2 linked regions of the Neodiprion lecontei genome follow. The protein of the gene in region 2 interacts with the protein of the main gene of each other region in a pairwise test. Links are inferred from orthologs where the notes say so. Each region holds a gene or a part of one and is shown on either strand. Other genes may lie near its edges. The genes, in order: cleavage stimulation factor subunit 2 and protein suppressor of forked.

The links.
Region 1: the proteins of protein suppressor of forked (region 2) and cleavage stimulation factor subunit 2 interact in a two-hybrid assay, tested with the Drosophila melanogaster proteins (2 studies listed by BioGRID). The link is inferred for Neodiprion lecontei from reciprocal best matches to the Drosophila melanogaster genes su(f) and CstF64.

The regions. Positions count from the first base shown.
Region 1 is NC_060260.1:6,245,867-6,251,185, reverse strand, and holds cleavage stimulation factor subunit 2, read right to left. Parts: upstream 3,689-5,319; 5' UTR 3,550-3,688; coding exon 3,489-3,549; intron 3,394-3,488; coding exon 3,315-3,393; intron 3,093-3,314; coding exon 2,521-3,092; intron 2,348-2,520; coding exon 2,176-2,347; intron 2,103-2,175; coding exon 2,076-2,102; intron 2,002-2,075; coding exon 1,904-2,001; intron 1,456-1,903; exon of another isoform or gene 1,430-1,455; coding exon 1,239-1,429; intron 1,027-1,238; coding exon 907-1,026; 3' UTR 717-906; downstream 1-716. Other genes in the region: WD40 repeat-containing protein SMU1, read left to right, coding at 3,974-3,999, 4,067-4,133, 4,223-4,366, 4,473-4,587, 4,700-5,319.
Region 2 is NC_060263.1:28,266,549-28,271,764, forward strand, and holds the start of protein suppressor of forked, read right to left. Parts: upstream 3,258-5,216; 5' UTR 2,940-3,257; coding exon 2,916-2,939; intron 2,594-2,915; coding exon 2,402-2,593; intron 2,172-2,401; coding exon 2,139-2,171; intron 1-2,138. Other genes in the region: cytochrome c oxidase assembly protein COX20, mitochondrial, read right to left, coding at 3,775-4,110. UniProt on the Drosophila melanogaster protein: Essential protein, may play a role in mRNA production or stability.

The sequences.
Region 1 (5,319 bases), on a different chromosome or scaffold from region 2:
ATCCCACGCTCCTTTTGCTGCGTTTTCTGAGTTCCTTGGGGTCCAATTGGTCGGGAAAGAGTCATACGAATCAATTCTGAGACGAAAAATTTTTTGGTCAAAAAAAAAGGAAGGCTAACCCCTTTGCATTTTTGGCGAAAATTTTCGCGATTTTGAAAAGTGCTGGAATAAATTAATTGTGGCAATTAGTCTTATAAGGATCCTTTGAATCGAATTTGAGAATGAACATTCTCGCTTCAAAAACTGCTTGAAATTTTTCCGTTGAAATGTGGCAGATTTCAAATAATGTTGCATCTTTCATGCACCATTTGGACGCAACCTTGCGAGAGAACATAATTGCACATAGTTCCGGTAAGCTGCGACCAATGGTTTCCAAGTTTCAGCAGATCAGTGCAACAATCGGAGGTTGAGATCGGATTGATTAATAAGAGATTTCGTGACCAAAAAAACCAGTTTTTGGTTTATTTTGAAAAAAATTCGTAGTAGATTGAATCCATAGACAGGAGTCAACGTCATACGCTGTTCAACTAAACCTAGAAATCATCGGCCTTCTGCGCACATAAGGCCGGTTCTACCAACCTTTTTTTAACCACTATTTTAATTCGTTTTGAAATTTCAAGACGTTATTTGCCAGAAAATCTGTGCTTCTCGTCAAGTGGTGTATACAGAGTTTTCGTATTCACAAAATCATCATGATATTTACAAAAAATCGCACGTCAGTTAATCAAATTTTTATTTTCACACCCTCTGCTTAGACAAGTCAGGTAATATAATGAAACATATTGAATCTTAAACAATCTAGACCTAGTACACCCAACATAATGTTCAGTGACATACTTAAATATTAAAATTGATGAGTTTTTTTCGTGTAAAATACAATTATTATCATTCCGTGAGAAGATGTTCTCAACGTTGAGTGCTTTTCGCTATTTGTTCTTTGAGCACTAGGATACTCTGCCTTTGTTCCGGAGGAAGCATAGCAATCTGCTCATCTGATAATTGTAACACTTGCATGATCAATGCCGCCTGTAACATAGAATGAAAACAATTTCAAGAAATGTTATATACATGTAAAGACACAAAAAGTTGTAATATGTTTATATTCTTCACGTCTTAGATGAAGTTAGGTCAACAGTCTAATCTTTTGGTGAGTGCAGGGAAGGCTTACATAGCAGGAGCCTTTCATAAAATCACATACTATGACATTGTAAATTTGAACATTGGAAAGTCTTTAGTACCTTTTCCTGGTCAGAAGCACCACTTGGAATGTTACCAGCAGGCGACATCCCCGCCATTAACCTTGAGGTAGCAGTACTGGGTGTTGAGAGACTCAGTGGATTAGTAGGGTTAATACCACTTGTTGTAGGGGGTGGCACCGGTGTTGCCACAATGGGTCTGGGTGCGACAGACGTGACCCCAGGAGCCGGTGCTGTAACATCACAAACAAGAATTGATCTGGAAAAATTCATAATCTCGTTAAAGGAACACGAAACTAAATCGTAATCAGAGTTAAATTTATCTCATGAAATGTGGCGAGGGTAAGTCAACAGCATAGCATAATGCATTGCCGCAATAGCGAACGATACTGTACAAGCGAATCTTAAAATCTTCTTTAAGAATGAAATAAATTATACATCTCTATGCGTTCGATTTTTAATCATAATCCACAAACTATATGAAAAAACTCTTCAGAATGAAATTATATGAATGAGGAGAATGTATCTCTTCATCTAATCGTGATCGTTTCAAATTTTACAGTAGATATGCATAACCAGGAACCATCTTCAAATTCTCATGCAACTTTCGACAGTTACTTAGAAAATCACTTTTTCACAAAAGTTACTGCTAGCACTGAGTTCTGATAAGTTAATAGTGGAAATTAAAACTCTGATTTGATGCTTACGATTAATTTTGGGAATTCGAGGATCAACTGGCATCCTAGGGTCACGTGGGTCTCGTGGTTCTCGTCCGAATCTGTCAGCTCTCGGATCACGACCGAAACTAGAACGAATATTGAAGTTACCGAACAATGATAAGTTATTGGGCTACATTCACGACAAGTATAATAGTAACACCTCTCTATACCCTCCGCTGGAAGAGTGCTGTAAAAGAACGCAAATTATTGATTATTTAATATCCCATTGGAAACAGAACCCAATTTATAATTATACTAACGGTTCTGGAAGAGCAAAGCTCTGTGATACAGCTCTGGGATCTGATGGAGGAGCTATAACTGGAGCGCTGACAGGAACAGGAGGGACTTGGGGTGGCCCTCGTAAGTCTTGATCCATTCTAGCCAGCCTTGGATCAATTTGTCTATCTAAAGTACGCAGATCCACATCCTGCCCTATAAATTTAATGAATAATTAGAAATCATATAATTGAATTTTCAACCTAAAAGTCAATACTCGATGGGTAAATTACAGAAAAAAATTAAGTTCCACTAAAATTGGGTCACGACGAATGACTTTCTGAGAATAAATATTTGAAATGAGTATCAGGAAATCTGGCTATATTCACCTGCAAAAATTGGAGCAGGTGGATTAACTGGTGTGGGTGCAGGTCTAGGAGTCCAGGGTTCTTCGATTCTTGGAACAATAGGATGCAGCGGTGGCTTATCATTTGGTAAAATAACACCAGGAATCGGGTTGGCTTTATGTAGCATATTGACTGCAGTTTGAGGGTCGACAATTCTCATCACAACTTGGGCCTGAAGCAAGGCATAAGCAAGCTGCGGGTTCTGTAGTAGCATTTGTCGTGCTTCGTTTGGATTATTTTGCACGCATAGCTTCATCTGCTTCATCAATTCAAACATCTGTTCAGGAGGTAACGATGCAACTGCTTTGCTTATAGCCTCTGGTGCCTTGTCTGCTTGAACTGCCTCGCCATAAGGATTTTCAGTGTTCTGTCCCTGAAGCAGGCTTTGCATTTCCATCCGACTTTTTTCTGTGCAAGCATTGTCCACTCTCAGTGTCCTTCCACCTATTTCATAGCCATTCAGGTTACGCATTGCGCTAAGCGCTGTCTCTTGATCCTTATACTCGCAAAATCCATATCCTTTCGGCTTTCCAGTTTCTCTGTCAAAAACCAGCCTGAGAAAAAGATACGAAAAGATATACACAAGTTTCAAAATAAATCAATAATAAGTATTTTTCACTATGGAAATAATGAGATGCTAATAAAGTGTTAGATAAATTTAAACTTTTTAATGGATTTTTCCTGCCAATTCCTGTAAAGTAATTGAATTTTTTTTTTTGTTTCACAATAAAAGACTGTTTGAGGTTAGGGTAAAGAACGTTACGGAGCATACTTACTTGAATGAGAGAACTGGTCCAACTTCGCTGAATATGTCCTTTAAATTCTCCTCTGTTGCTTCATACGGAATATTTCCGACTGAAAATTAATTGCAATCGTATTTTTGGGCGACTGAATTATCCGGTTAACAATTCATTGCGTTATAATTCAAAAAAAAGTTAATTCATAATTACCAAAAACACTCCGCATTGATTTATCCATCAGGGATTGATCTGAAATAGTTGAATTACTCATTTTTGCTGTTTTTATTTACGAATTTACAGATTTTGTTTATTGCTCGAATTCGAACGATACATTAACGTTTGTCACCCGAAGGACAGAAGACAGGTGTTTTCATTCGAACGTGATCAACATCAATCAACATGCAACAAGAACACCGTGGGTTATTCAAAACTAAATTGATAATAAACTTGATAATAATATTTCCACGGAACGAAGTCATTGACTAGATATTTAGATAGATACTGATGATTGTCTTCCTAGCGGAATTTTCTGCAACTACTGAAACGCTCGTCTACGTTGTTCCGCACTTAATGCCGCGATATCAAGTGCCTGCCATTCTATTACCGACTGCTATTTAGGGTTAGGATGGTATTAAACTTTTGACCGAAGTAAACATTGTGACAGCAAGTAAATAAATAGTTGTTCGCTCGTAAAAATGTCAATCGAAATTGAATCCGCTGAGTACGTATCTACTCTGTACATAATTAATTATTAGTCCCGATCAAACTACAATATCTTCTTATTTCAGTGTTATACGACTGATTCAACAGTACTTGAAGGAGTCTAATCTTGTAAAAACACTACAAACCTTGCAGGTAATATTAAATTTATTCATAATCCTACGAGGAAATACTCCTTGTTAATTGATCAAACTGTTAATTTAATCCTCTAAATACTTAACCAGGAGGAAACTGGTGTCTCGTTGAATACAGTTGACAGCGTTGACGGATTTGTTACGGATATTAACAATGGACATTGGGATACTGTGCTTAAAGCGACACAGTCCCTCAAATTGCCTGATAAAAAACTCATTGATTTGTACGAACAGGTATTTAACAACTTTCATTGTTTACATATGTTTTCAAAGACGCAGAAAGTCAGGTGAACTGTCAAACTTATAACAGAAATCCGATATCACAAATGTTTATTCACAGGTTGTTTTAGAACTAATTGAACTAAGAGAATTGGGCGCAGCTAGATCTCTGCTGAGGCAAACTGACCCGATGATAATGATGAAGCAGCAGGAACCTGAAAGATACATCCATCTTGGTAAAACAGAATAACTAATACAACTTTCATAACTAGTTTCTTAACTGACAAGCTACAGATGTTTATTTAATTTTCAATTGAATAATTTTTCTCACCTTCCACTTTTCTCCAGAAAATCTTTTGGCACGGTCCTACTTTGACCCAAGGGAAGCATACCCTGATGGAAGTACAAAGGAAAAGCGAAGAGCTCATATAGCAACTGCTTTGGCGGGTGAAGTATCAGTCGTACCATCCAGCAGGCTGCTAGCTTTGCTCGGACAAGCTTTGAAATGGCAGCAGCACCAAGGGCTCTTGCCTCCTGGCACAACCATAGATTTGTTCAGAGGCAAAGCAGCTGTTCGAGATCAGGAAGATGAAAAATACCCAACTCAGTTATCTAAGCAAATTAAGTTTGGGCAAAAGTCACATGTTGAGTGTGCGAGATTTTCACCAGATGGACAATATTTGGTAACAGGCTCCGTCGACGGGTTTATAGAGGTGTGGAACTTTACTACTGGAAAAATACGAAAAGACTTGAAGTACCAGGCACAGGATAACTTCATGATGATGGAACAAGCCGTTTTATCAATGTCATTTAGCCGCGATAGCGAAATGCTTGCCGGTGGTGGCCAAGACGGGAAAATGAAAGTTTGGCGTGTTCAAAGTGGCCAATGCCTCCGCAGATTCGAAAAAGCACATGCCAAAGGTGTCACTTGTCTTCAGTTCAGTAGAGACAACAGTCAGATACTATCC
Region 2 (5,216 bases):
ATTTGTAATAACAGTTTGTCAAAGGAAATCCCGATGCACAAGTGTGCTTTTATTAACCGAATAGGTCACAGAATTGAATTTATCTGATACTAGTAATATTGACGTAAAATGCGCATGTTTACTCCACGAATAATATGTTGAGTATCAAAATAAAAGAAGGATTGGACAGACTAAAAAGATTCTTCATTTTGTATTTACGCTCTTTTATTTATCTCTTCAAAGTTTCACTGTATTCAAAGCTTATTCATTTATTGCGCTGAAACTACAACATATCAGTTTACGAAAATAATTATTTACTTGAAATAAGTCAAAATAGGGTGAATATTGTACGAGGCAGTTACACAACAAAAGAATTGCAGTGATCTATGAATTTTGGAAGATTAGAGTACAAGCTAAATTTTCATTTTTACCTTTTGACTTTATTCTACCAGAAGTACAGTTGATAATTTCAACCTGTGACCTAATCGAGACCCAAGAATATGTAGCAGGAAGGAATATAAGGCTGTTACATTCAGAAAGTCACCTTTGTCGATACATGTAAAATTTTTTCTAATACTTGGGATTCGCGTCAATTAATCTAAAACTGGGGCATGCAAAACTTTGAGTTTACCGACAAAACTGACCTCCCGATTGTTTGAACACAGCAGTAATTTATCAATGAAATAAGTTATTGCTTGTTTGTGGTGAAATAAATTTTTTTTTATTCACCTCACATGTATCATGTAAAGTGCTCAGCATCACATAAAATGATAGTATCTTGTTATGACGGATTAAAATACCATTTATACTGACAGCAAATCATCTGTATTCCTATGCAAAGGGTTGTTCAGTTAAATGCATGACTACATATGTCCCGGCATTGATATTCAATAATTACGACTTTATAAGTATTTAATTATTCGCTTCACATACACCTATCTCTCACCAATCATAATATAACTCATCACACTCGGCAGACAGCAACAGGCATTCAGGCATGCATAGAATGTGCTCCGTCACAGGATTAAAATGACCATTTAACCCTGAGAAACTAAGTACATGGAAACCTGTGATAAACCAGTCGAGCTGCATATGTGCCTCAAATTTACTCAATGTTGATATTTTGTTATCACTTTAACCCAGGAAAGAAAACATACGGTAAAAACTCGACATCTTGCTGCACACGAAGCATTGAAGATTGAATATTATCAGAAATGGTAAATTGTGAAATACCTCGAAGACACAGATTCGTTTGGATGTTCGAAGGTGGCGAAATCTTAGATCTGTTCAACGCATAAGCATGGCCTTTATTTATTTCAGCCAATATAAATACTATGTACCAATTGTTATTGCAAATCAGATTCACGCTGCCAAAGAATTCCCATAAATGCGATAACGCGGTCCAGATCATAAATGGAGGTGGAGCAAGATATCAAGCTTTCCCTGTGACACCAAAGATGAAAATAATTGTTTACAATTGTAACAGGATACTCGAAAAAGTTCTGAATACTCAAAATCAAATTTGCTACGTGAAATTAGACGGATATTCTTTCAATATTTATTACTTTCCGAAGGTTTATATTTAAAGAGTGATAACGGTTTAACAACTTCTTTTGAACCTAAAATAAATGATACCGTTTTTCATAATAATGTGAATTTATAATTACTTTGATATATTATTAACTATGCAAGAAAAACCACCTGAATCAATTTATTGTAGCAACTGGTTTATTGAACTCTGGTTTACTTTGCTAAAAATATATACCGAGAAACCTTTATGAAAACCCTGTGTATTTAAGATTTTGTTCACTGGTTGATATATAAATAAAACTCCGATATTTGAAAATATTTTATTTGCCCAATCACAAACACATCATTGTTAATCATAATATTGTCGAAGCGAGGAAAATTTAGATATTGTATTCAATACAGAACCTAACAATTTAGCATACCTTCTCAGTAATAGTGAAATGAAAAAAATTCATACTTCACCCGAATTTTTGGTTATGAATATTTCTGTAGACATTTTTAAACTTTTTAACTGAACAACATGTACATACATGTATATATTATATAACAAGTGAAAACCAACATGAAACTACCACAACACAAATTATTCAGAATCAAGTTGGTAATCCAGACAAATATTGTGAACATACCTTTTCCACCTTCTCAAAGTTGCGCATTTTCATCTGAAACCAAGTACATATCATACAATTATACAATGACAAGTCGTAAATATTATTTGACAACGAACTACTACTAGCCTATAAACGCTGTATTTTATGTGAAAACAAATCCATTAATACATACGATGACTATCAGCTATGAGGATGAATAAGGGTTTGCCATAATTCAACGTTACGTCGTGCACAATTTTACTGCCTATATTTTGACAGGTGTAAATGACAGCTACGATTACCTCTTGCTCAATGTATATTTTCCAGTAACGACCAGCTGATGGGAACACGTTGACAAGTTTTTCAAATACGGATCTCACTTCGGTGATCGGTCTGTTTTGAGCCTCCCTAATCAATATACTCCATGCTTCTAAGTCGTACGGCGATTCTTCGACAGTTTTCTGAGCCCGTTGTAGTTTTTCGTTTCCCCAATCCTGCAATCATTTAAACTTGTCTTACATGTTTTTGTTGAAGTTTTTGTCATACGAAATGAGAATTTCTAAACTGTAATGTGGGAAGAAACACAGTTTAAAGAATAAACTAGAATCGTATTCTAGTTCAATAAAGACTAATATCAGCAACAGAAACAAAAAAGAATAGGAAAAAGCTACAGTTTTTCGGTAATCCGTCAACTCGATAAATAAGTCGGGCATTCCGATCTAAGAAGTGAAATTAGGCGAGGTAAGGTTAGGTTTGGGATTAGGTTATGTTGCAGACAAAAATCAGCAGTTTGCCGGTACAATAATTCATACGTACAAATTCAGTTTTTTCTCCAGACATGATTCTTAGGATCAGTGGCCTGGTATCCTACACGTATATCTCTGAAAAATAACGTAGGAAATAAATTGTTATTTCCTAAGATTATCCAAACCCCGCGTCGGTACCCACTACGCACTATTCAACTATTTATCCACTACTTGATTCGATACAAGTACGATGCAACTCGACCCTTCGAAACCACACAGAAGCGCGACCTCTTCCGGTTATTCTGAATCTGCTCGTGACTTGCCGATAAAACAGGCAGCCTGTACCAAAGCATATACCATGTATACGAGGGATATACAAAGAGGTTCTCTCTGTACAAAGTGTCCGTGCAGTAGACGTAAATTAAGATGGCATTGCTGCAGCAAAAGTTCCACAAAGCGCCAATCACATTGAACCCTGATTGCTAAGCGCCAATCAAATTATGACCCTTATTGCTTATGACCATGCTTATGACTCTGACGAGCACCATTCCCATTCACGTGATTTCTCATTTCTCTTTACCTGTACCGTTCATAGCCTGAGCCGAAAATACCGGACATACGGTCTCAATTATCTTTGAAAAATAGACCATAGACTTGAATAATAATCACCAAGCCAAGAAGAATATTATAAATCGTCACAAGAACAGGAAAGTTTGAAATTCAATTATTCTGGGGTGTAAGTGATAGATCGTGTATTGGGTATTTTCCTCAGTTTAAAATACGTTTTAATTAAAGAAATGTGGAGGTGAAAACAACGATGTTTCGTTCTCTGTTAACATGCTATTATCACACTGTATAACCTATAAAAAAATAACGATAATGATGACTATAAATAATCAACTATTCATTGTTCTACATTGTCAAAACTTTCACGCATCCACCAGAGGCAATCTGTCAATTTCCTTCTCCTTCGGCGTCCCTGCGTAGGTAGCGTGCTGTTCGATGAGCTCCTGCAGTCTAGCCACCTCGATCTGTTGTTTGGACCACGTATACCGGCAATAAACCCAGTAACTCCATGTCGAGCCGACGAAGGTGGCCATGCCGATGTGCGAGGCGAGTTTCGGTTTGCTGGTAAACATGAACGTACCTAAGCCGCCGACAATACTGCAGGTTATTCCGGATAGGAAACTATTTCTGAAGCATGGAATCCTTGTAACGTCTCTCCCGAATAACATCAGCGGCTTGTGATCGTCTTCTTCGTCCATCGCATGCGGAGTACGTTATATATTCTCAAAATATATTGGATTTATGTTACTTGACAGAGGCCGAAAAGCGTTGCAGCGACGGCAAGTTAAGTTTTACGTAACCTCGACTAGACTAGAGGCCTCTGTATGATGCGAATCACACTGTCTTGCGCCGCGCGGAAATACGACCGATAAATAGCGCCACCCCAGCTTTGACAAATACGTTGACTGAAGAGTCTTCAGTCAACGACAAATAGTAGCAGCAAGCGCGCCTAAATTTGATCCAGAAGACTGTTTTTTCCAGTTTAGCATATGTGACGGTAATTTTACAAGATTTATCTGTAAATGTTCAGAGCCCGATCTTCCAACCGTTGTTCAGTGTATATATGTTCCATCGAATCGCTAAGATAAACAAGAAGACATTATGATATCAACATTTTATTTTCATATAGCAAATCAGTTTTTCTTTTATAGAATGTATACAAAGAAGGACATGTGGATAGAATAGTATGAAATAAATAATCACAGTATGAGTAAGTAATGGCAATAACAAAAAAAAAAAAACTGATTATAATAATAATAAAATTAACATCACTTACAATTAGCGTAATTTATCAGGTAAAAAACATTGTGCCACTTGAGTATGATAATAGTAATTAATTAAAGGGAACAAAGTTTTTTCAACACTGGTCAAACTAACCTTTGTTATGCTCATTCCGTCTATGAAAATATACTTTGGCTATAAGTTTGTATACATCATTTGTATTCTATACTATATCTTAAATTGCCTTTGATTTTCCACTATGCATTTGATTACCTACTACTTACATTTTATCATATCATCTTATATCACTGCTATCATACATATCACTACTTACGGAAGGCACTAATAATGGCTACTATAGAATGAGAACAGTCTGTACAAATATAGCCCAACGCTTAAACTAATTAAAGCTACAAGATGCCACTTTAAGACACGAGATAAAAAAAAGAAATGAAGTAATTTTACTTGTAATATTTCTGGTAATTAGATATTCTGGAATAATATACAGCGTTAAGCACACAGTCTCGATGGGTAAGCGACTTTTTGGAAAATCTTCTTCTATCTCAATTTGTTTTGTTTTTGC